Linked DNA regions of Notamacropus eugenii. The protein of the gene in region 3 interacts with the protein of the main gene of each other region in a pairwise test. Links are inferred from orthologs where the notes say so. Each region holds a gene or a part of one and is shown on either strand. Other genes may lie near its edges.

What was found.
Region 1: the proteins of SH3GLB1 (region 3) and TPD52L2 interact in binary tests that used the Homo sapiens proteins (3 or more experiments, as listed by UniProt). The two-hybrid records come from large-scale screens. The link is inferred for Notamacropus eugenii from reciprocal best matches to the Homo sapiens genes SH3GLB1 and TPD52L2.
Region 2: the proteins of SH3GLB1 (region 3) and SYP interact in binary tests that used the Homo sapiens proteins (3 or more experiments, as listed by UniProt). The link is inferred for Notamacropus eugenii from reciprocal best matches to the Homo sapiens genes SH3GLB1 and SYP.

The regions. Positions count from the first base shown.
Region 1 is NC_092872.1:496,481,413-496,489,273, forward strand, and holds the start of TPD52L2 (tumor protein D54), read right to left. Parts: upstream 3,148-7,861; 5' UTR 3,001-3,147; coding exon 2,982-3,000; intron 1-2,981.
Region 2 is NC_092879.1:102,206,227-102,214,208, reverse strand, and holds the start of SYP (synaptophysin), read left to right. Parts: upstream 1-4,835; 5' UTR 4,836-4,922; coding exon 4,923-4,940; intron 4,941-7,410; coding exon 7,411-7,476; intron 7,477-7,982.
Region 3 is NC_092873.1:496,315,664-496,323,956, reverse strand, and holds the start of SH3GLB1 (endophilin-B1), read right to left. Parts: upstream 3,298-8,293; 5' UTR 3,140-3,297; coding exon 3,077-3,139; intron 2,930-3,076; exon of another isoform or gene 2,778-2,929; intron 2,518-2,777; exon of another isoform or gene 2,345-2,517; intron 2,296-2,344; exon of another isoform or gene 1,999-2,295; intron 1-1,998. UniProt on the Homo sapiens protein: May be required for normal outer mitochondrial membrane dynamics. Required for coatomer-mediated retrograde transport in certain cells. May recruit other proteins to membranes with high curvature. May promote membrane fusion.

The DNA.
Region 1 (7,861 bases), on a different chromosome or scaffold from region 3:
ATCACAACTCACTTATCTAGGCTTTTTAATTGGTCTCCTTGCCTCAAGTGTCTCCCACTCCAATTCATCCTCCACTCAGATGTCAAAGTGCTTTTCCTAAAACAAAGGTCTGGGCATGCCAACACCTTACTCAGTAAATTCCAGTGGTTCCTCCTCCAGCATCAAATGTAAAGCATTCTATTTCTCATTCAAAGTCCTCTTACACTGTGCTCCCTTTCCAGGTTCTCTTTGGTCTTCCTGCTGTTCCTCACATACAATACTCCCAACTCTGTACCTTTGCACTGACTTACTTTCTCTGGCTTCAAGATTCAGCTCAAGTCTGACTTTCTTTAGGAGGTCTAGTCCACCAGCTGCTAGTGCCTTTCCCTCTCAGATTACTTTCCATTTACTCTGTATATATCTTGCGTTAATTACTTATATGGACAGTGTTTTTTGTCTTTGTTTGTGTCCCTAGTGCTTAGCACAGTGCCTGGCACAAAGCAAGGGCTAAATGAATGCTAATTGTTGACTGACTACATCCATGGGCTATACTACTTTCCATATTAAGTTTAAACTTCTTGCAATGAATGAGATCTGTCCACGCTTCTTAGCATATACTCCTCTGCCCTTTATACTCCAGGAATCTAGATGATACCACAGAAATATAGCTTATTTCACTTCTTAGAACATCATTGCTTAATATTACATTAAAACATTACAATTTAATAACAAAACCTTTTCCTACCACACTCAATGTATATCATTAAAAATTTAAAATAAAAAAGGCATTTCTTTTAAAAACAAAACTTACAGAAGACTCTAAGAATCTTAAGGACAGGGAACATATTATTCATCTATACATCCTTAGCAGCAATTAACTTTGGGTCCTGAGCCCCAGGCATAGGTTCTCAGGAGGTAACTGTTGAATGAAAAATGTCTTTTGAAAAATAGTGATTCTGAATTTAAATTCTATTTAATTCATATTTTTTGCTTAATCATTTTTACCTGCTGTGGTATCCATTAAGGTAAATGAATGCCTGAATTTTGCTGCAATTGTTACCCATCAATTTTATTTTAGAAAACCATACCCTGGGGAGATATGCAACAATTAAAAAAATAGAAACCAAGAAATCCTTTCCCTACAACAGTCACCACCAAATTATAAAAATTTCCACTGAAATAAAAACAGATGTCAAACTAAAAACAAGCAACCTAAACCCAGTGATACTGTAAACAATTCAAAGTTCATATCTGTCAAAATGCAAAACATTTTTTTATTCTGAAATCCCTGAAATTATTTTATCCCAAGCCTTAATGATGCATATTTCTTATCACATTCCTTTTACCAGGCCACTGAAATACCACTGAAGGAGCTTTTTCTGAAACAGACTTGATTAGGTGTGTCAGTATTACAACTTGACCTACCTGATTTGCCAACTGCCATCTCCTCCTACTCCTGATTAGGTAACACCAGACACTCACATTGACAACAGATGTAAGGTAGGCCACTGAGGACTTGAGTAGGGGGGGAATAGCACAATGAAGGTGAAATTCAAGGTGATTATTCAACAGCATCCTGGATGCTGGCCCTAGAATCTGATTCCGTAAGGTGAGTACCTACTAGACAGACACACCTACACTAGATCCCTCAAATATCAGTGAGAGAAGAAAGGGGAGTGTTGAGGAAGGCAGAAAATTCCTGTGTGGGAGATGTCTGGGAAAGAAGCATGAAAATGGATTGAAAAAGTGGAGGAACAGGTGAGGGCAATGAGGAGTCTGGAAGTGCAGCAATTAAAGTTGGAGAAGTTTACATGGAAGGAGGTTTGGAAGAGTAAGGATACTAAGGTTTGTAAGACTGTGTAAGGAGAGCTGAAAGAGATTCAAGGCTGGACAGAACTAAGGAAGGGAAGGAAATTAAAAATACTAAGAAATAGGCAAGAGAGGTCTATGACAAACGCAAAATGTAGGAGAAAGCTTTGAGAAGAAGACTGAAGAAGATGAAGACATTATGGGGTGGGTGACCTGAGAGAATTGGGGGCAGGACAAAGGGTGATGAAAAGGAGGGTAGGCAGCACTGAATATGGTTCCTCAGTTAATAAATATTTGCTGAATGAAGATGAAGGAAATGACTAAAGGGCCCCTCCCAGAGATACGGGGTGGGGTGGGGGAGAAGCGAAGACTCCGGAAAGGGGCGGCGGTAAAGTTGCTGAGAGATTGCACGGAGATCCCCACGGAGGGTACGAGGTAGGAAAAGAGTTGTTACTGTGAGTTTGTCCTTGCTCCGGAAGAAGACCATGACATCAAGATGACGACATGACTTGCAGCTGACTCTTGATTTGAGTGAGGGAGGGCTGTGCAAGGTAGGAAAAGAAGGGAAACAACCAAAGAGGGTCCTAGAAAATGTTCCCGGTAGTTTCTTAAAACAAAGAAGCAGCATGAAAAAAAAAGTCCTCTAATTCCAAAAACAGCGTTCTCTTCTATTCTGAAAGTTTTTTGGGGGAGGGGGAAGGCGGGCAGTCGGACTAGAGAAGAGAAGTAAGAGCTAGAAGAAATGGGATGACACGACACGGGGAGATGACCAAGGGATGACTGGTGGATCCCCATCCGATACGGAGGGGTGGGTTTCGGGGGGTAACCCAATAGGAGAGACCAGGGGAGGCTGGGGGTGGGTCTAGAAGGAAATGGGGGGGTCGACCAAAGAAAAGGTGGGGGGCACCGAAGGGCACATACGAGGGGACTGGGGATACCATGGACACGTACATATGGGGGGATGGACGGCATACGTGCCAGGAAGCCACAGGGATAACAGGACAGAGAGAACTAAGGTGAGGGGCGGGTACCCCCGAGGGCGGAGAGGACTCAAGGGCCCAGGGGGCTGGGGGCGGAGCCCGGAGGGGGTAGGCTGGCCCAGAGGCGGGGCCGGGCGGCCTGTCGGTCCGTCAGTCGGTCGGTCGGTCAGTCAGTCAGCGGCTCCGTCACTGCTCTCCTCCCGCCTCGGTTACCTTGGCTGGCGGGATCCATGTCCGGGCCGTATGCTGGGCAAGTACCGAGGCCAAGCCTGGTGTCCGTCGCTTCCACTCGGCGCCCAGAAGACTCGGAGCCGCTGCAGCCACCACCACTGCACGTAATCCCAGCCGCCGCCACTCACTTCCCCTTGGGAGCCCCACCCCCACCCGCTGCTCCCTGGCCCCGCCTTCCCCCGGAATCAGCCAATGAGAGCCTCCTCCGGTCACGCCTGCACTCGAACTCCGTCCTTCTGATAGGCGAGTGTTGAGTCACGTGCCTGAGGGCAAGGCGGGTGGAGTTTGGCGGAGTCCGGCCCAGTTCGGATTCACCATTGAGATTAGCGTGCTCCCGGCTAGAAAGGCAGGAAGGAGTTGAGGCGAGAGGAGCGTGGGCTCTCGGAGGACTCCGTAGTGCTGGATTGCGTCGTTTTCCGTGCTCTGGCTGCCGGAGCCTAAACCTGAGCGCCCACCTCACTCTCGCGTTTTGCCTTGTGTCTACACCGTCCAACTTTAACTCTTCCTCTTCCAGGCCCCGCCAGTCTGAGTACTTGCCCCTAGTCCCAGGGCGAAGCTCCCTCTCCCGGCCCTCGCCGCCATCAGTCCCAAGTTACCAGCTTGGGGCCGCACCTGCAAGCCCCCCACTTCTTTCCTTAGGTGCCACTTGCCCTCAGTCTTGGCGATCGTTCAGGTCTATGGGAACGTGGGGCTCTACTGCTAAGAAATGGAAGGTATTTTTAATTCAGTCCCATAAACAGCCTTCGCTCCTTGAGGACAGGGGCTGTTTTTCTTCAGTGTCTGCATCACAGTCTCTTGCGCAGAGGTGCTAAATAAAAGCTTTTTGGATTTAATTTGAATTAAGTATAATTTTGTGCCAGCATCTTGCTCCATGGAGTGGTGGGTAGAGAGCTGTGGCCTCAGAGGCGAGATCTGGTTTTAAGTCTGGCCTCTGACCGGAGATACTTGCTGTGTGACCTTGAGCAAGTCATTTAACCCCTCAGAGCCCCGGGCATCTCTTAGAATCCATTTTGTTGAGCAAATGTAGATCTGCTTCACCAGAAGCAGTTTACCCTGCAGGCTTTCCCTATACTAGTGAAATCTTACCGTGGGTTAAAAGTTTAAAAATGGTACCACGACCGCACTGGACTTCTGGGGTTGGGTTTTTGCTTTGTGACCCAGGAGAAGTTTTGTAACCTCTTAGTTTCCTCTTCTCAAATACGGGCAATACTATTTGTCTTAACCCTACTTTACAGGGTTGTTTTGAAAAAAAGTATAGTAGTTCATTTACATGGCAAGTGTAACTTCTCCACAGGCAAAATTAATGCACCTACCTAGGTTAAGAAGGAAAGAAGTCAGATGGGAAAACACTTTGTATCCAGTTATCATCCTAAAGGTCTAGACTGGAAACAGCACTAGTTGGATGATGTTGAGGTGGATCACTGTTTCCATTTTAGAAAGTAATTTGGAATTATGCAATTAAAATGTCTGTACCTTTTGAGATTCCATTGCTAGGTGTATACCCCAAGGAAGCATTGACAAGGAGAAAATCCCCTTGTACACCAAAATTTATAGTGGTACTTTTTGTGATAGCAAAGAATTAGAAACAAAGTGGATGCTCATCAGTTGACGGACGTCTACATAAATTATGGTACATTATTATAATGGAACATTACTGTGCTGTAAGAAATGATGAATATGATGAAGCCAGAGAAGAATGGAAAGATCTACATGAATTGATGCAGACTGTAGTAAGCAGAGTCAAGAAAATATACGTAATTTCTACAAAAATGAAAACAGAAAGAACAATCACCAAAAGAAGTTAATGTTGCAAAGTTACAAAGAATTACATGGTTAAAAGGCATTCCGATCCCACTCCATGGTGGGATCACTCCATGATTGTGGTACATAGCACTTATTTTCAGGCTTTTTCAGTATGTTGATCAGTTCTGCTTATTTTTTCTTCTATTTTTTCCTTTAAAAATCTGTCTTGTTATATAGAATGACTTTCTGAGAGAGGAGAAGGGAATGAATGAGGGGGAAAATCTTGGTAATGTAAAAAAAAAAAGCCAGTAAAAACTAATTTAAAAAGAAAAAGTATAGTGATGCCAGTAAGAAAAATGGGACAAGACAAGATGGGCATGTTTAGGGTAGTATGGTTGTTACAACAGTTTGGGTTTTTTTTTCCCCTTTATTTTTTCAATGGAGGTAGGTGAGAAAAAGAAGGCAAATTCTCATTAATTGAAAAAAATGATTTAAATTGACTATAATTCACTTTTAAAAAGATAAATAGAGCTGTAAGGAGGAGAAGATTTTGTAAAGATGATTTATTTGGATATATTAAATTTAAGATGCTGGCAGGATATCTAGGTGGAGCTGTTTATCAGGCGAATGGAAATAAATGGAGCTCAGAGGAGATGTCAGAAGAGAGAGATCAGTATTGGAGTTATAGATTTAGGAGAGATCTGCATAGAACTATTAACTGAAGCCATTGTATTAGATGAAATCACCAAGGGAGTTAATATTGGAAGATTAAAGAAAAGGGCAGGGGAAAAATAAAATACCAAATAAGTAATTTTTTAAAAGAAAAGGGCAAAAAAAGAACTTTGGGGGATACTATAAATAAGATCTGAAAGGGAAAAAAAAAATGAGCCAGGAAATTTCTACTTTACCTCTGCCTCCTGGAATCTCTAGTTCCATTTAAGGTTCTACTCAGGCGCTACCTCCTAAAAGTCTTTTCTGATGACCCCAGTTTTTAGTGTTCTCTCCCCAAAATTACCTTTTTTTTTTGTCTGGACCTGCAGTTTCATCAGCATAGGAAGCTTCCCTGTGAGAAAACTTAGTCTGTCAATGAAGATCTGGGACTATTCTGCAATTTATACTCTTAGAATTTCTTTGAAGCACTAAGAGGTTAAGTAACTTGTCTAGTATATATAAAAGAGACTTGAACCCAGACCTTCCTGGCTCCAAGGCTAGGTCTCTATCCAAATTACCAGAAGGTTTTCTAAATAATTTGTATTTATTTTGTATAAATTTTGCATTTACTTAATCAATCAACAAGTATTTATTAAGTGCCTACTATGTTCTTGGCATCATGCTATGTGCTGGGGGTACAATTATAATGAATGGAACAGTCTCTCCTTGAAAAGATCTTATATCTTAATAATAGAGGCAACAGTGTACACATATGCACTCATACATATACATATGTGTCTATACAGATAAAATACAAAGTAGTCTGAGAAGGAGGGCATTAGCAAATGAAGAGATCAGAAATTACTTTATGTAGAAGGTGATGCATAAGCTACATCTTGAAGGAAGAAACATTTTTGAAGTAGACAGGAAGAGGAATTGCACTCTAGACAAGGAGAATAGCCAGTATAAAGACATAAGATGAGAAATGGAGTATCATATGTGAAGAACCAAGAGAAAGCCAGAATATATTTGAATATAAGGATTATATCGAACCAGAGAGGAAGTATAATGAGGCTGGAGAGTTTGGTTGGGACAGTTTTCAAAGGAAGAAATGTAAATAATCATCAGTCATATAAAAATGTTCCAAATTGCAATTAACAGAAATACAAATTCAAACAACTCTGTAAGTATCACCTCATATCTGTCAAATTGGTCAAGATGATAACAGAAAGAAGTAGCTATAAGTAAAATCTAAATAAGTTCCCTCAACCAATTTGAGATTATTGAAACATACCCGCTTATTTAGAGGCATCTAAGCTATACTTTTCTGTGAAATCTGAGCATGTCCACTGGTGTGGTACTAGTTGGGTTCCACCTCCTAGATTCCCTGTCTTTCTTCAGGTCCCAGCTAATATCCTGTCATTTACCGGAAGCCTTTCCTGATTCCCCTTAATTTTCTTACCTTCCCTCTGTTGATTATTTTCCATTTATCATGCATAAATTTGGCAAACCACTATAGAATACGTAGTTTATATGTAGTTGTTCCAATCTTCTCTCCCTTATTAAACTATAAGCTCCTGGAGAGCAAGGACTGTCTTTTGCCTTTGTATCCTCTATGCTTAGCACATAGTAGGTGCTTAATAAATGTTTACTGACTCACAGTTTATGACTGACTGGTGCTTTCTCCTGATGATTGACTGACTTCAGATCTGATTTCTTTTCTTTTGGTCTATAGAATTAGTGTCTAATGTCTTTACTTATCATTTTCCCCCTGTTGCCTTCTTCCAGAGTACAGCAAAGGTGGAAAGAGATTTCTCTCTCCTCTCACACGCAGAAGCAGATGATGTCAATGCACAGAATCTGAAAGGAGAGATCCCAGAGAATGAGATGTCCCAGCTTAACAGATGGCAACAACTCTGACACTGAAACTTTCCCACTGAAGCAAAAGGCAAAAGCAGAAATGTGTGTGCCCACTCAGTGGAGAGAGGAGAGTCCCATATCTGGGAGCTGCCTGAGGGAGAATCTCAATTTTGAGAGTTCTTGATTTGAGTTTTGATGCTAGACATTCTCCAGAGAGACAATTTCTTGAAATATTGTACTCCTTGGAAAAAAGAAAAGAATTAATTTAGTTCCTGAGCAGAGTTACTTGGATAGATCCAAGCAAATAAAAAAGTTTACTTATTCAGAAATTCCCAGAGTATGTTTACCCTCCAGGAGAAATATTAATCACTAAGTAGCACTATGAGTCTTGAGGGGAAATTATGTACATTCCTGTGTGATAGACGGATTTCATTAGAATATAAAGGTGTCATTCCAATGGCAATATCAGGTTCAATATTGTGTGTGTGCATGCGTGCATGTGTCTGTTTAGTTGCTGGGCTATTTAAGTATTCAGTGTATTTCTCAGTCAGTTCATGAGTTATTCTGAATCCTTTGTATCTGTAGGAGAGTTGATCTTTGAGTAAACC
Region 2 (7,982 bases), on a different chromosome or scaffold from region 3:
CAATGGGGGGCAGGATAGGATGGAGGGAAATATAGTTAGTCTTACACAACACGACTATTATGGAAGACATTTGCAAAACTACACAGATATGGCCTATATTGAATTGCTTGCCTTCCAAAGCGAATGGGTGGGGAGGGAGGGATGAAGAGAAGTTGGAACTCAAAGTTTTAGGATCAACTGTCGAGTACTGTTCTTGCTACTAGGAAATAAGAAATATAGGTAAAGGGGTATAGAAAGTTATCTGGCCCTACAGGACAAAAGAGGAGATGGGGACAAGGGAAGGGAGGGATGATAGAAGAGAGAGCAGATTGGTGATAGGGGCAATTAGAATGCTCAGTGTTTTGGGGTAGGGGTAGGGGACAAGTGGGGAGAAAATTTGGAACCCAAAATTTTGTGAAAATGAATGTTAAAAGTTAAATAAATTAATAAAAGAAGAAGAAGAAGAAGAATAGGTCAATGGCATTTCCAGAAGTTGCTCCTTTGTTTGTGTGTAATCCCTGCCCATTCACTCTCCCCACTGGTTTCTTGGCTATCTATGTGAGAATACCCCCTGTGTTGGAATGTGGGAAAATGTTCTATTGAAAATCTTAATATGCTATTTCATGAAGTGCTTTGGGTTTGGATCTAACTGAATTCTCTGGGTGACACCAAGGGAGGGGCTCATGAGCTGTGGCCTCACAGACGAACCTGGGGGACCCAAGTGTGTGTAAATGTGGGCCAGTGGGTATGTAGACATAGATAGATGTTATACCAGAATAAATGTCATCCTGGAGGAGGTGAGCTCAGGTACAACAGTTCCAGCTGCTATCTCCTGGGTCTAGAGGGGATGGCGAGAACTCACCTGGGGCCTGGCTTTGATGGAGTAACAAAGTGGGAGACCAAGGGAGACCCAAAAATACATACAGACACTGAAAGTTACATAGACAAAGGGAGAGGGCGACACAGAGGGAGGCAGAGAGACACAAGACAGACCAAAGGTTGCTTTTAAAAATATTTTTTCAATTACATGTAAAAAAATTTTTTTTATATTTGGTTTTGTTTGCTTTTTTTATGTGGAGTTCTAAAATCTCTCCCTCACTCCCTTCCCCCTCACTAATAAGGCAAGCAATTTGATAGAGGTCATCCAATTGCAGTCATGCAAAAGTTATTTTCATATTTGTTATGTGCAAAAAAAAAAAACCAGAGGAAAAAACTGCCAAGAAAAGTAAAGTTTTAAAAAGTCTGCTTCAACCTGTATTCACTCTCCATCAGTTCTTTCTTTCATCATAAGCCCTTTCACACTGTATTCTTGGTAATGCTGAGAATAGCTAAGTCGTTCATGATTGCTTGTCATACAATATGTTCTTGTGTACAATGTTTTCCTGGTTCTACTCACTTCACTTTGCCTCAGTTCATAGAAGTCTTGCCAGGTTTTTCTGAAATCTGCCTGCTCATCATTTTTCAAAAATTATTATTTATTTTTAGTTTTCAACATTCACTTTGACAAGATTTTGAGTTCTAAATTTTTCCTCCTCCCTTCTCTCCCCACTCCCCAAGAAGGTGTATAATCTGATATTTAACGTATTTCCACATTAGTCATGTTGGAAAGAAGAATCAGAACCAAATAGGGAAAACAACAAGAAAGGAAAAACAATGAAAAAGAGAAAATAGTATGCTTCGATCTGTGTTCAGACTCCATCCATCCATGCTAACTTTCATCTCATACCTCTCCCCCCTTTTGTGGATAAACACTTTTGGGGTTTAGAAAGTTGCCCACAATAGGTACCTCCATTTGCCTTCCTCTTACTCTTTTCTCTTTACAGTTTAGCTTCTAACCTCATTACTCAACTGAAGCTCCTCTCTCCAGTTACTCAGGATCTCTTGGTTGCCAAACTCAGTAGGCTTTTCTCAGTCCTCATCCTCTGTGACTTCTCAGAAGCCTTTGACACTGGCAACCACCCTCTTGTCTGGAGGTTTTCATGACTCTGCTGTATGTCAGTTCGCCTCCTTGTCTGAGTGCTCCTTTGCTATATCAGTGCCCTTTGATACATCTTCATCCAATGGTGGGCTCTGTCCTGGGCCCTCTTTTCCCTCTAGACTATTTCACTTGGTGGTCTCATCAGTTCCTGTGAATTCGATTCTCATCTCTATGCAAATGAGTGTCAGATCTATTTGTCCAGCCCTGAGCTCTCTCAGCTGACATCCAGTCCCATATCTCCAGCTGAAAACTGCATGTCATGTGAACATGCTCAAAATGGAATTCCTTACCTCTTCCCCAGAAACTCTCCCCTCACAGTTTCCCTATTACTTTCCATGGCATCTTATCCTTGTAGTCACCTCCCATATCCAATCTGTTGCCTAGTTCTGCTGTTTCTGTCTTTGGAACATCTTCCAAATACACTCCCTTCTCTCCTCTGGCACTGCCACCTCCTGGTGCAGGTTTTCATCACTTCAGCCGTTGATGATGGCAGTAGCTGCTGGAGGCTCTGCCTGTCTTTGGCCTCTCCCCCCTTCAGTTCATCCTCTACTCAGCTGCCCAAGCACAGATCCAACCCTATCACTGGCTCAAGAAACTGCAGCGGACCGGAGCAGCTGAGGCTGTTCCCTATCATCTCTAGGATCAAATATTAAATCCTCTGTTTGACATTCAAAGCCCTTCATGACCTGGTTCCCTACTACTTTTCCAGTCTTCTCACACCTTATTCACTTCCATGTCCTCTGGGAGCCTTCTGGATTTTCCTCCAATAGAACACTCTGTCTCTGGCCATTTTCACATGGAATTCTCTCCCTTTGCATGACTTCTTGGCTTTCTGAGCTTCCTTCAGGTCCCAGCCTTTCCTGATCCCCCCCTATTTTTAGTGCCTTCTCTCTGAGATCGTGTTTGTTTTATCCAGTGTATCCCCCATTAGATTGTGAGCTCCTTGAGGGCAGAGTGCATTTAGGGTTATTGTATCTCCAGAAAGTGGCACAATGTCTGGTACCTAGGAGATACTTGAGTAAATATTTATTGACTTACGTTATTTAGGTGGTGCTGCAGTGGACAGAGCTCCAGGCTTGGAGTCAGGAGGGACCTGATTTCAAATCCTGCCTCAGACACTTACTAGCTGTGTGACCCTGGGTAAGTCACTTAACCCTATTTGACAGAAAAGAAAGACTGAAACATAGTAGATTTTGATGTATCTAGACAATAGAGACACAGATATGGGAGAACCAGAATTAATGAAAGACTGAAATGGGAGTGTTCGTGTGCGTGTGAGAGAGAGAGAGGCAGACACACAGACAGACGCACAGACAGACGCACAGACAGACGCACAGACGGCAGACGACAGACACACAGACAGACACACAGACAGACACAGACACACAGACACACGGACAGACACACAGACACACAGACAGACACACAGACAGACACAGACACGCAGAGACACAGACCAAGTAAAAGACCATTATTTCTCCTTTAACATTGTAGTTTGCTCAGCATCTGAGAGATGAATGGTTGGAATCTCTCACTATTTTTATTTTGTTTCAAAGTTTGTTTGGAACTTAGTGAAGTCTTTGATACAATCCCTTCCTGAACGTTGGGTGCCTAGGTGCTTAACAGCTACAGTTTCGCAAGGAGCTACATGGCAGACTTGTTACAATGGAAGAAGAAACATTTGGTTCACCAAGAACCAAGAAAGAAGGCAGCCTCAGGGTATGTCTAAACAAAGGTCGTAATAGAGGGAACATGCGGAGGAAATCTAAGGTTTCCAGTGAAGGCAACAAACTTGGTCTCCTAAGCAGTGATTACTTTGGGTAGGGGGCCCTGTCTGAACTCTTGACTCTGAAAGAATGGATTTGAATGGGCCATTGTTCAGCGAGCTGGGAGCTCAACCGTGGCACGTCCCTTCCCAAAGCCATCCAGCCCTGGCTGCTAGTCCAGGCTTCTCAGGCTCCGGATGAATCGGTAAAGGGATGGCAGCCTGAGCTCCCAGGGAAGGGACAAGCTTCCAGGACCAAGGACATGACAGCCCATCGTCCTAGGCTCACTTATGGCAGCTAGGTTCCCAAAGGAGCCCCGACAAGACTTGTTTCTAATTAAGTGTCAAACCTGGAAAAACTCAGAGCCACGAGGTGATCAGAACATAGTGAGGCATTTCTTTAGGGGAGGGGGGAGTTGTAATCCCTGGAGAGGAAGGGGAGAAAGGAGATTCTCACTGTAGACGAGGGAAACAGGAGGGAGTAGGGATACATGGGACAGGCGGACTGCAAGAAAAGAAAAGAAAGGAAAGGAAAAGAAATCCATGTTTGCAGAAGTGTCCTTGCTGCTCTCTCTGTGCGGGAACAGAAAGTGCTGGGGATGGCTTTTCCTGGCCACTCCAAGCTGCGGGGGTGCCCCTCCCTGGAGGCCAAGTCAAGGCTGGGTGCGGTGGACTTGGAGGGGGCTGGGGAATTCAGATTCCCGTTTACAATGGACTCTGGGATCACCGAGTCCGCTTTCATCCTTGAGTCTGTGGGGCAGTCCAGGTCACCTCCACTCTTCAAGGGCGACCCCCTGAGGGAAGGAATGAGGGGGGGATTCCGGTTAAAGTCGGAGCTGAGCTGGATGGGAAAGAAATCTCGGCGGGCTTCCTAGAGCAAGAAGCTTGGGGGAAGGAGTTGAAAGCCTTTGAAGTCACCGCCCCCAGGGCCCCCCGGGACAACCCTTCGGAAACCTGCGCTATCTCCATTCCTTCAGAGGGCCGCCCGTCGCTACCTTCCTCTCGCGCGCCTGCGCATGGGGAGTAGGGGTGGGGGGTGGCAAGAAGAGCAGCGGAAGGGGGAGGCGCGAGGACCGGAGCAGCTGAGGCTGTTCTAGCGATCGCAACGCTCCGCCCCCCGCCCTGCCGCTGCAACTGCTACTGCTCCTCCCCCCGCTGCGGCTGCGGCTGCGGCGGCTGCTGGGCATCCAAAAGGCTACCATGGACGTGCTCAACCAGGTGGGGAGATGCCGAGGCGACCGAGGGCGCTTCAGCACCACGGACAGCCGCCCCCGAGCTAGCTCCTAAGCCCCCAGGGGTCGCTCCTACCCTTCCCGGAGGGCTCAGGGCCGGTAGCCAAGAAATGGACAAAAGGGCGGGGCGCGGTGGGAGTGTGTGTGTGTGGGGGGGGGGGTGCAGGAGGTGAAGGAGACAGTCGGGGGACCTGGGGGGAGATGAAGGAGCTAGAAGGGGGGGACTGGGGAGGGGCAGGAGGTGAAGGAGACAGTCGGGGGACCTGGGGGGAGATGAAGGAGTTAGAAGGGGGGGGCCTGGGGAGGGGCAGGACGTGAAGGAGACAGTCAGGGGACCTGGGGAGGGGGAGAAATGAAGGGGGGTCTGGGGAGGGGGAGAGATGAAGGAGCTAGAAGGGGGGGCCTGGGGAGGGGCAGGAGGTGAAGGAGACAGTCAGGGGACCTGGGGGGTAGGAGATAAAGGAGTTAGAGGGGGGGACCTGGGGAGGGGCAGGACGTGAAGGAGTCAGGCTGTAAGGGGAAGCGCCCAGGGGGCGAGAGATAAAGGGGGGGGAGGTGCAAGGCCAGAAGAGGCCTGGAACTGAGAAAGGTGCAGAATCGGGGGATGGATCTCAGAGGATGCAGGGAAGGCCCGGTTGGCTAGCAGAGATGAGCAGTTAGGGAGGGAGGAACCCCCCAGGACAACCAAGAGGAGAGAAGGAAGGTCGAAAAGGAAGGCAATGAGAGAATGCGGAGGAAAATGGGGGAAAACCAGTTCCTGAGGGCATCCAGGAAGGAGCATAATAGAGAGATTTTGGCCACAGGGGTCCAGAAGGAACCCCAGGCTCAATTTGGGGGGTGGCAACGTGAGAGGAAAAAAGCCTAGGGGCCCCAGGAGGAGGCAGGAAGCTGAGGCAGGCCTGGAAGGAGAGCTTAGAAGCAGTTAGCTAAGGGGAGGAGGGACGGCAGAGGAGACTTGTAGTTGAGGGACACAGATGGGACAGATAGAGAAATCCCAAAAGGCACCAGGAAAAGAGGAAGGGGAAACAGCCCTGTAAATGACAGGGGAGAGAAGGTGGAAAAATTCAGGGGGTCACCAGGGAGAAGAGGGGGAGGCTTGCCTAGGAAGTGGAGGTATTAGGGACTAGATAATCGATAAGGATGGATGTGTAGGTTTGTGGGTGGGGAGAATAGAGGAGAGAGGGAAGGGAGGGAAGGGGGAGAGAGGGAGGGAGAGAGGGAGGGAGGGAGGGGAGAGAGGGAGGAGGGAAGAGAGGGAGGGAGATGGAGAGATAGAGAGGGAGAGAAGGAGGGAGGGGGAGAGAGAGGGAGACAGAGAAGAGAGTGACAGAGAGAAAGAGAGAGACAGACAGACAGACAGACAGACAGGCACAGAGATTTGAAAGACAGAAATCTTGAAGGTCATCCAGAAGGAAGAGGTTGACTTGGAGGTTTGATGGGTAAGAAATTCCAGAGAAACGTCTCTAAGTGAAAGAGGAGGTCTGAATTTGGGGGAATAGGAGGGAAAGAGAAGGGAGGGGGATCTAGCAGGGGGATAGGGGGGAGACAGGGAGAGAGTGAGATACAAAGAGAGACAGATGGAGACAGAAAACAACCTCTGCAGATCCTGTCCCAGAGAAAGGCAGAGGTCTATCAAGGGGCCTGGGGGAGAGAGGGAGGGGAGATTCCAAAGGGCATTCCAGAGAAGGAAAGTGTAAAAACAGATGTTGATGGAAATGGGGGCAGAGGAAGGAAGGCTTGAAGTGGAGAAAGGGGGGGTGGGGATGGGATAATGAGGATGGAGACATGAAAGTGGAAATGAAGGAGAGGGAGGAAGCTACCTAGAGGATAGGAGGGGTGAGAGGACGGTGAAGGTAGGAATCTGGGAATGAATCCAGCAGTACGGCAGATGAATTTTTGTGAGGGAAATGGACAATTCTTGGCTGGTTCCTACATGAGCAGATGGCCTCAAGATTAGGTGGGGAAAAAAGGGAGATAGATGGAGAAATTCGAGTCAGAAGAGTTGGAGTCAGAAGAGGTTTGAAAGGTACTCGCGCGCGCGCACGTGTGTGTGTGTGTGTGTGTGTGTGTGTGTGTGTGTGTGTGTTCCTCTGTTAAGCTGAGAAAATAGAGTGACAGCAGGCAGGGTGAGAGCAAGGCTAGAGAGATGGTGAGAGGACTGGGAAGTGTGGGCTGACCCAGAAGCTTGGTTCCCTTGGATGGGGGCAGTGCCCTTTGCAGAGGCTGCACCAGAGCTACCCCCTCTCCCCATAGCCTTGCCCTCTCTAGCCTTCTTGCGTCACCTACCCTTTAACGTTCTCTTCCCTCTTTACCCCTTTGTCTTCTTCCTCTTCTCTCCCTTCACTGGACCTCTACTTATCCCCCTCCCTATCCCTTTTTCTTCCCCTCCTTTTTAAGCTCCATATTTTCCCCTCTTCTTCCATCTTTCCTCCTCATCCTTTCTTGTTTCTCTACAGCTGGTGGCTGGGGGTCAGTTCCGGGTGGTCAAGGAGCCCCTGGGCTTCCTGAAGTTACTGGAATGGGTGAGTCTCTTCTGTGGAGAATTTCTGGAGGGATGAGGTTAAGGTGGGTATCTCTCTGGTTCCCAAGAGAGGGAATCCTGGTGAGGACGGGAACAGCTAATTCTGATCCGGAAGTGAGTCATGGGAGAGGCTGAGGGAGAAGGGGAGGCCCCAGTTAATCCACCCTCAACCTTGGTAGGCAGAGAGATGGGAGCAGGGGAGGGCTTATCTGGGATTATGAGAGGAGAGGGTCAAAGGATGGCTGAGCCATCTGCCACCTGCCTGGTCACCCACTGGGCTAGAGAAGGGAGGGAGAGAGAAGGCAGCTGACCAGCCCGGACAAAGCCATGGAATTAGGATGCCTGGATTTCATCAGAGGTGTTTGGCAGTCTCTTGACATATTCATCAATAAGATGGAGGGGTGTGTGCCAGTGAATGTCTACTTGGATGGTTCAGAGATGGTCAAATGGATAAATTCCCAGCAGCAAACAATCAAAGCCATTCTGGAAGGAGGAGGTCTCTAGTAG
Region 3 (8,293 bases):
TTTGATTTTTTTTTTACTAGATTTTTTTATTTTACTAGAAAATCCTTAATATTTAAGTAGATGAAAATTTGTTTTCCTTACTACTATTAATCTGGTGGGGTACAGTTCTCAAGCTCTAACTGCAACTCATTAGACTTTGTACATTGTCATAGGCTAGATGACTTTTAAGGTTCAATCTAATGCTAAATCTATGATCCTAAGACTGCTGTGATTACCGATGTCAATAAAGTGTAGAATGAGATCTCAGTTACTGACTAAATGCTGAAACTGAAATAAGCTTCACAAAGCAGTGTGCTTGTTTTGTCTAAACAATCAGGCACAGTATTTTCAATCTCACATGAAGTATGGTCCCAAGATCTCTTAACTCTGAAAGGTGGTAAATTTTATTCTTAAGGTAATGGATCCAGCAAAAGTGAAAAAAAAAAATTTAACTTGTTTACGTTGATTTAGCATAATACTTCAAAAATTATTCTTGAAAAGTAAGTCAAAGTTATTGTTACAGAATGGTATTAGTGAAAGGTAAGATAGACTTGAGTATAAATAAAGCTCACAAAAGCTCTCTTCCCTACTTTCTTTAATCACCACTTCTTTAAAAGCATACTATCAACACTTCTAGACTTTACCGTCTGTCATCTGAAGTTAGGATAGTAAATTCCAGTTGTGTCTCCTTAGGCTACCACTCTATACAAACATATCAGACCCAGTCACTCCAACTGGAACTGAGTATGTGGAGGAAGACATTAAATATAGACAGAGATTAAGACTGCTTTTGGCACTTAGAAATTGGGCCAGTGTACAAATTGACCTGGTAGGCACCTGGAATTCTTATTTATTGAAGAGAACATCCCAATAGTCAAGCCTTTTTAATACACAAAATACAGCCTGAAATTCTCCCTGATTCTTGCGCCAGTGGAAAAGTATTCCTTCTCTTCTTAAATTTTCTTGCACGATAAGGCCATGTATTCTTACAAGGAAAAGGGTCAAGTTCAACTTTTGCTACTTACTTCCTGTATGTCTTTGGGTAAGTCATTTAATCTCTGCTGGGCCTTCACTTTCTGATCTGTAAAATAAGGAGGTAGGCCCAAGACACCCTACTGTGCATTCCAGCCCAACTCTTTGATCCTAAAATATGGTTCCATACCAGACCTTATCTATAATCATTATTTATGTACCTGTCACATCTTTCAAACCAGTAGAATAAAAAGTTCCTTGAGGACAAAACCTTTTTTATCCTTTATATCTTCAATAATTACCACATAATAAATGCTTAGTTAACATTTGCTGATCTGAATAATGAATAAATTTGACTTGTCACTGACCTATTTATCAGGTAAACTTTATAGAAACAATGAGTAAAATTCCAACTGAAATTAGTTGGATCAGAAGAAGTCTCCTGCTTTTAACAGAAATAGTGTTATTGGCAACATTTTAGTGGCCTAATGTAAATTTCTCAGTGAAACTATAAGATTCAAATCCCAGAAAGACTAATTAAATAATACAAATCAGACAACATAAACGCATGAATAATCCTATTGGCACCTTGTTTTAGGAATGTAAGAATACACCTTGGAAGAACTAGACTGTATTTATCAAGTATCCACCACCCTAAAGAAGGAAAATGTTTTTATAGGTATTAAAGGAGATCAAAACATAACCAATGACACAAGTTCATTCATTTATAAAATGGACAGCACTAAGTAGAATTAGAAATGATCACCATAAATTTAAATTTACTCCAAGTTCTCAATCACTTCTGGTTGTAAAGATGAACACAGAAATTTACTCAACCAAAAAAGAGTCAATTTCAAATTATGACCTTTTGAACTGTGGCTAATTTTTTAAAAGAAGATGTTTTCACTAAAACTCAGCGTTACGGTTTAAGGGTATCGTCAAGAGTCACACATAAATTTGTTATCTTAGCGATAAAAATTCTTTTTAAGGTATTTAAGGGAGCAATTGCGACAGTAGTCCTGGTAGGCTTTGGAATCTCGAGTGTACCTCTTGTTTTTTAAGTGCACCTTTCTTAAACCGTGGTAGATCTTTAAAACGTGGGTGTGAGATGGTTTCCAAGAACGTTTAGTTCTACCCTCCTTCAAGGCCGAGGCTCTCCAGGTGAATCCCGACTGCCGCTTACACAGCAGGGGGCCCTGGGCCGGCTTCCCCCGGGCAAAAGGAGGGCGTTGGTCCGCTCGCCCCCGCCAGCTACACCTCTATCCCCCAGATAAAGCAGGGAGGCGACTCCCCTGGCCGGCCACACCTCTCCGGCTGGCTACCCCACCTAGCCTACTCCCTGCTTAACCAACGGTCCCAGAGGAGAACCCAGGACCCAGAGCAGGCTCCCAACCTGCGGGCAGTTCGGTGGAGGTCCTGGAGCCCCTCGGGAAGAACGTTTGTTAAGAGGCAGAAAAATAAACGCGGTGTAACAAAGGAAACCAGCTATCCTGAAGCGGCCCGAAAACGCATCCTTTCCAAAGTTCGAGGACCTCCAGTTAGGACTGGGGCCAAAGGGAAGGCCGGCGAGGGAGCGCCGGAGCGAAGGGGCGCCGGGCCGAGGGGGCGCCGGGCCGAGGGGGCGCCGGAGCGAAGGGGCGCCGGGCCGAGGGGGCGCCGGGCCGAGCCCAGCACGGCCGCGGACCTGACGCGCCTCTGGCTCCGTCCCGGGGGAGTTCCCGGGGGAGGCTGGGGCGGGCCGCGGAGCCAGCCCCGGGGCGCCCCGAGCTCGGCTCCCGGGGAAGTGACCGGCTGGGGACGCCGCGGGCCGGGCCCGGGGTCCTCACCCCGTGGGGCTCCGGACCCAGGGCGCGGCTGGAGCTGCGCGTTTCGGGCGCCTCCCAGTGCCCTGGGGCCCGGTGGGGGCCGGGGGAGGTCAGGAGGTCAGGTCCCGGCTCGGGCCTCGCTCTTCCCGGGTCTCGCGGCCCGCGGGGAGAGGAAGAGGGCGAGGCCACGGTTCCTTCCGTTACCGACCCGCCCCCGGCCTGGCTCGGCCCGGCTGTCAGCGGCGGGAGGCGGGGCCTCGGGGAACGGGCCGCGGGCCTCGGCCTCCCTCCCGCCCGCCCCGGCCCGGCCCGCGCGCTACCTGCACCGCGCGGCTGAGAAAGGTGCCCGCGTCCGCCGCCAGCTTCTTCACGCTGAAGTCCATGATGCTTCCGCCGGGCCGGGGTCGGGGCCGGGACCGGGGCCCGCAGCCGGAGCCGGAGCCGGAGCCGCAGCCGGAGCCGGGCGGAGCCGCCGCTGCCGCCTCACAGGGAGCAGGGAGAGGAGCCGGGAGACGGGGGCGGGGCCCGGCCCGGGAGAAGAGAGGACAGCAGCCAGGGGAGGGGAGGGTGGGGGAGAGGGGGAGGGCGGGGCCTAGCTTGGGGAGGCGGGGAGGGGCGAGAGAGAAGGCGGAAGGAGCGGCCGGGGGCGGGGTCTAGCGCGCTAAGGAGGAGAAAACGAAGGTAAAGGAGGGATGACGGAAGAGAGGGATGTGAGCGGGGAGAGAGGAGAAGAGGAGGGGAGGAGAGGAGGGGGCGGGGCTTAGCTCGCCTAGGGGATGAAAAGGAGGGAAGGGGAGGGGAGCGAAAGGCGAGGGAGGAGCTTCGAACAGGGGTGGGGCCTAGCTTGGGGAGGTGGGGAAGGGAGAGGAGGGGAAGTGAGGAAAGAGGGAGGGACAGACTGAAGAGAGACTGGGAGGGGGCGGGGCGGAAGGAGAGGGTGGGTCCTAGCTCTCTAAGGGAGAGAGAAGGGGAGGGGAAAGAGAGGATAAGGACTGGGAGAGGAGGAGGGGCGATCAGGGAAGGAGCGGGTCTGGCCTCTCCTGGGAGAGGGGAGAGGAGGAGCTAAGATTGGGGGCGGGGCCTAACCTGGGATGGGGAGAAGGCGAGGAAGGGGCGGTGCTTGAGGGGGCGGGGAAGCAGAGGAGGGACGTGGCTCTGGTTAGAGAGGGCTGGGGGTGAACGATGCCCGCACGCCCAGCTCCCCCGGGGGTGGGAGGCCACGGCTTGGGGGAGGGCGCGGTGGGGTGGCGTGAGTCCCACCAAGGGGGCGCCACGAGACACACTCCCATAGATGACTGACCAGAGAGACGCGAGGCCAGCTAGGCCAGGAGCCCCACGGGGAGTGACACGGAGACACGTGGAGTGGGGGGGCTCCGGGGAAATGATGAGCCAATGGCAAAGGGAAAGGGCCGAGAGACGGGGTCGAGGAGAACAACTGGAGAGTGATGGCAGCGGGGCACGCGGTGCCCGCGAGGGCCTGGGCTAATGTGCGTGAGAGGAGGCGTGGGTGAAGAAGGTGTGGGAGGCAAGGGGGGGTTCCAGTTGTTGGGACTTGTGTCTGAATGTGGTCGGAGCGAGGGAAGAGCGGCCAAAAACGGCCAAGGGTTTGAACCTGGGTCCTTGGAAGGATGGCGGTGCCCAACAGAAATGGGGGAGTTCTGTTATGGACATGTGGAACTTGAGATGCCAGCGGGGCATCGAGAGACCAGCAGGCAGTTGGAGATGCAGGACTGGTGGTTTGGAGACAAACAGAGCGTGGCCATCTGCATGGAAATACGATAGTTGGACCCAATTATAATTGAAGAGTGCCCAAGTCAGAATGCGTACAAAGGGAAAGGAAGAGTCCCCAGGAACAAGCGGCCATCCAGCCTTTGTTTGAAGACTTCCAGAGAAGGAGAACAGATTGCCTCCCTAGGGAGCACATTCTGCTTTGGATCATGTGTAATAGTTATTAAAATTTTCTGTCAATTTATCCTACATCAGCCCTTGATGACTTCAGTCCATTCCATCCAGTTCTGCCATCCAGGGCACAAGGAGTCTAAGTATTTAAAGACAGGACTGTCGTGTGCCCCTCCAGTCTTCTCTGCTCCAGGCTAATCACTTCCAGTTCTTTTCATTGATCCTTATGTGGCATGAACTTGGGCCTTTCACTTTCCCCATCTCCCTGTCTCCAGAGGTTCTCCAGCTTATCATTGTACTTAAAATGTGGCATCCCTAACTGACCCAGAGATAGTCTGATCAGGGCAAAGAATAGCCTCTCAATGCATCCTAAAACCCTAAACTTCACCCTCCAGAACTTGCTGGTTATTTGACTAGGAGCAAATCATTGAACTGCAGTTTCCTTACCCTTAAAATTGGTATTCAAAGTAACCATCCCAGGAGGTTATTGTGAGGCTCAAATGGCATTATGTATGAAAAGGAGTTCACGAAGCTTAAAGTCTTGTCAAGATGGCAGCTATTTCTTCCTTTTTTTAAACTCCAATCTCAGAGATGGCTTGTACTACCTGGCCAGGCTTCCCTTACCTTCTACTTGTTTGTTTGTCTGTTTGCTTTGGAGACCAAATGGAATACTTTACATTTTATCCTATTGCATTTCTTTGTAGTAGTTTTGACTGAATGTTCTATCTTGTAATACATGCTGGTAACTGAGCCCTGTGGATAATGGCTGACTGTTTAAGCTATGTTGAGACACACAGGCACAGAAGCACATCAGGATAAGTGAAGGTCAGGAGCCTTGTGATACAGAGAAAGATGCAAGAATGAGCTTCAAGTAGTTGGAAACAGGCATGGACAGTCAGGTAGCTGGATTTATAAAGCACATTTTTAATAAGTAGGAGATTTGGGGGAAATTTCTGCTCATATCACATATTTGCCACATACAGTCAGGAGATAAGACTATTACACTTTAGGGAGAATGATAAAAGTTAAGAGAACTAAAATTGGAAGAGATCTTAGAGACTGTCAAATTCAAATTCCATCTTTGTACCCATGAAGAAATTCAGACCCAGGGAGTTTAAGCGACAGTGAAAATTCAGACTCAGTTATCTCTAATTCAAGACACTCTTTCCATTGGTCTGCTGCCCTCTGGACCATGGACTGAGGGTTAGTATCTAGAAAAGGTTTCTCCCCTGATGACTTCCATGCTTGTCCTGTGCCTTCAAATTACAAACAAAGGTACACAAAGAAATATGAGGGCCAGGGTCAACTACAGGTGTTGAGAGATATTAGATTAGATCAGTCACATGCAGCCTTTAATGGAATAAAAGGTCATTCTTCGAAACAGGTTCAAGTTGCACCCAGCTAAGGTGGAAAAGGAGCAAGAACTGCCAGTTCCTCCTTATTCTTCCTCAGCATTCCAAACACTTTAGCAAGTGCCCACAAGAAAACACAGTCTTATACCTGGCTTATACCCACAAGAAAACACAGTCTTATACCATGCCTCCTCTGGGCTTCATCTCTCTAGGCTCCCCAGAAGCATGGATTTGAGGAGGGTAACTGTAGATACCATTGCTTCTAGCCAAGTAGCTCAGCTACTCCATAAAAACAAGAGAAACGTCCCACAACCTCCCTCTTCTCTCCATGTTCTTTCTCCTTTTTCAGGTGCCCTGCTGCATCTCTCCTTCCCCCCCCCCCCCAATTCTCAAATTGCACAATACTTCTTTGCCTCAGGAGATGAATAAAAACCTTAAAATACCTGAATTCTCTACAGATCCATACCATTCTTCCTCCCTCTAAAGTAGATGTTACATTATATAACACATTAGTATATGTCCCTTTGTAAAAAATGAGTTGACATCATCAAGTTAATATTTGGGAACACATCAATGTAGTGATAGTAATATAACATTCCCTCCCCCCAAAAAAACCTGGCAGAGTTACCCCCTAGAATCTTGAGAGGAGTAGTAGTCAGCTGCCCTCTGGGCACACAGCCTGCCAATGAGAGTGAGACTTGGGAGTAAGCCCAAAGGAGATGCTTTAACAGTACAAATTACACTAGAAGGACAAATATTTGTGTGCAGGACAAAGAGACCCATCTCACTCTCCTGTCACATTTCCCTTATAGCAACCAGTTTTATCACTGAAGAGTAATTTGGTTTTCCCTACCCACTATACAATCCTTAGAGTATTTTCCTGCTTACAGAATCACATTTTCTCTCCCCTCCACGCAACTACAAATGATGAAAAAATCCTGTTATATCTCATTGCATTAGTGAGATACAGGGTAACTACTGGTAGGTCATTTAGTTGATTGTGGCAACTAACTAAATTTTTTTTATTAATTTTATTTTGATGTAACAGATACTTCCTAAAAAACTCCCAAATGAACCCTCCCACAAAATACACTCCCTGAGGAGTACTTTTCACTTTTGTAGGTTACTGATTATTAACGAAAGGAAGGATCTGTGCTTTAGTATTAACAGCTTGGTACCTATGCTATATGTTGTATTTGACCTTTCTGTTGCCTTTTAGTTTTGCCTTTATATTGTGTAATCATTGTGTGTATTGCTCTACAGGAGTGAATAATCTAGGATAGAACCTTGGGGAACACCACAGTTTAGAGGTGTAGTATGAATGGTGACCCTGCAAAGGATATGGACAAGGAGTTGACAGGTAGGGGAGAACCAGAAGACAGTCATGTCAAAAAATTTCAGAGTACACAGGAGAAGAGGATGGTCACTATTGCCAAGGTTGAATGGGATGAGGACTAAGGAAAGACTATCAGATTTTGCAGTTAAGAGATTATTGGTAATTTTGCAGAGAGCTATTTCAGTTGAGTGATGAGGTCAGATGCCAGATTGTAAAGGGTTGAAGAGTGAGAAGAAAGAAAAAGGAAGCAACAAGTACAGGAAGCTTTTTATAAGAGTTTGGCTGAAAAAGAGAGGAGAGCTGTTGAATGACAGCTTGAGGTAATGTCTAATGAAGGATTTTTTGTTTTGTTTTGAGAATGGGGGAGACTTGGCCATCCTTAAAGGTTATAGGGAAGAAACTGTAGCTAGAGAGAAGTTGGAGATTTGAGAGAGGGAGTTCATTGAGGGAACAGTGTGTTGGGGACAGGAAAAGACAGGATCAATACATGTACAGGTCTTGGCCTAGGTAAGAAGAAAGGCCACATTATTGTTAGAGAAGGTGGTTAAAGAAGAGAGAGTGGGAGATGATGTCAAGAGGCTTTGAAATGAAGAGAAGGGGTAAAGGAGGAACACATGGTAAATAGCCTCAGGAACGTTAGAGGCAGGTTCTTCAGCTGAGAGGGAAGAAAACTTCTGAGTAGAGTGACATTATATCAATTGTTGGTTGTGTTTGTCCTTTTTTGAAAAAGACCATACCATCAGAGAAATAATGACATGACTTGCACTTGACTTTGTTTTGAGTGAGGGAGGGCTGTGCAAGTCACCAGCCTCACTTCTCCTCCAGAGTCATCTGAATCCAGTGACCAGATATTCATCAGGATGACTGGAGACAGCCGAGGATGAGTAAATTAATTAGGGAGGAATAAAAGAATTGCTTTGCTTTGGTGAAGATTCTGTTGCAATTGGATA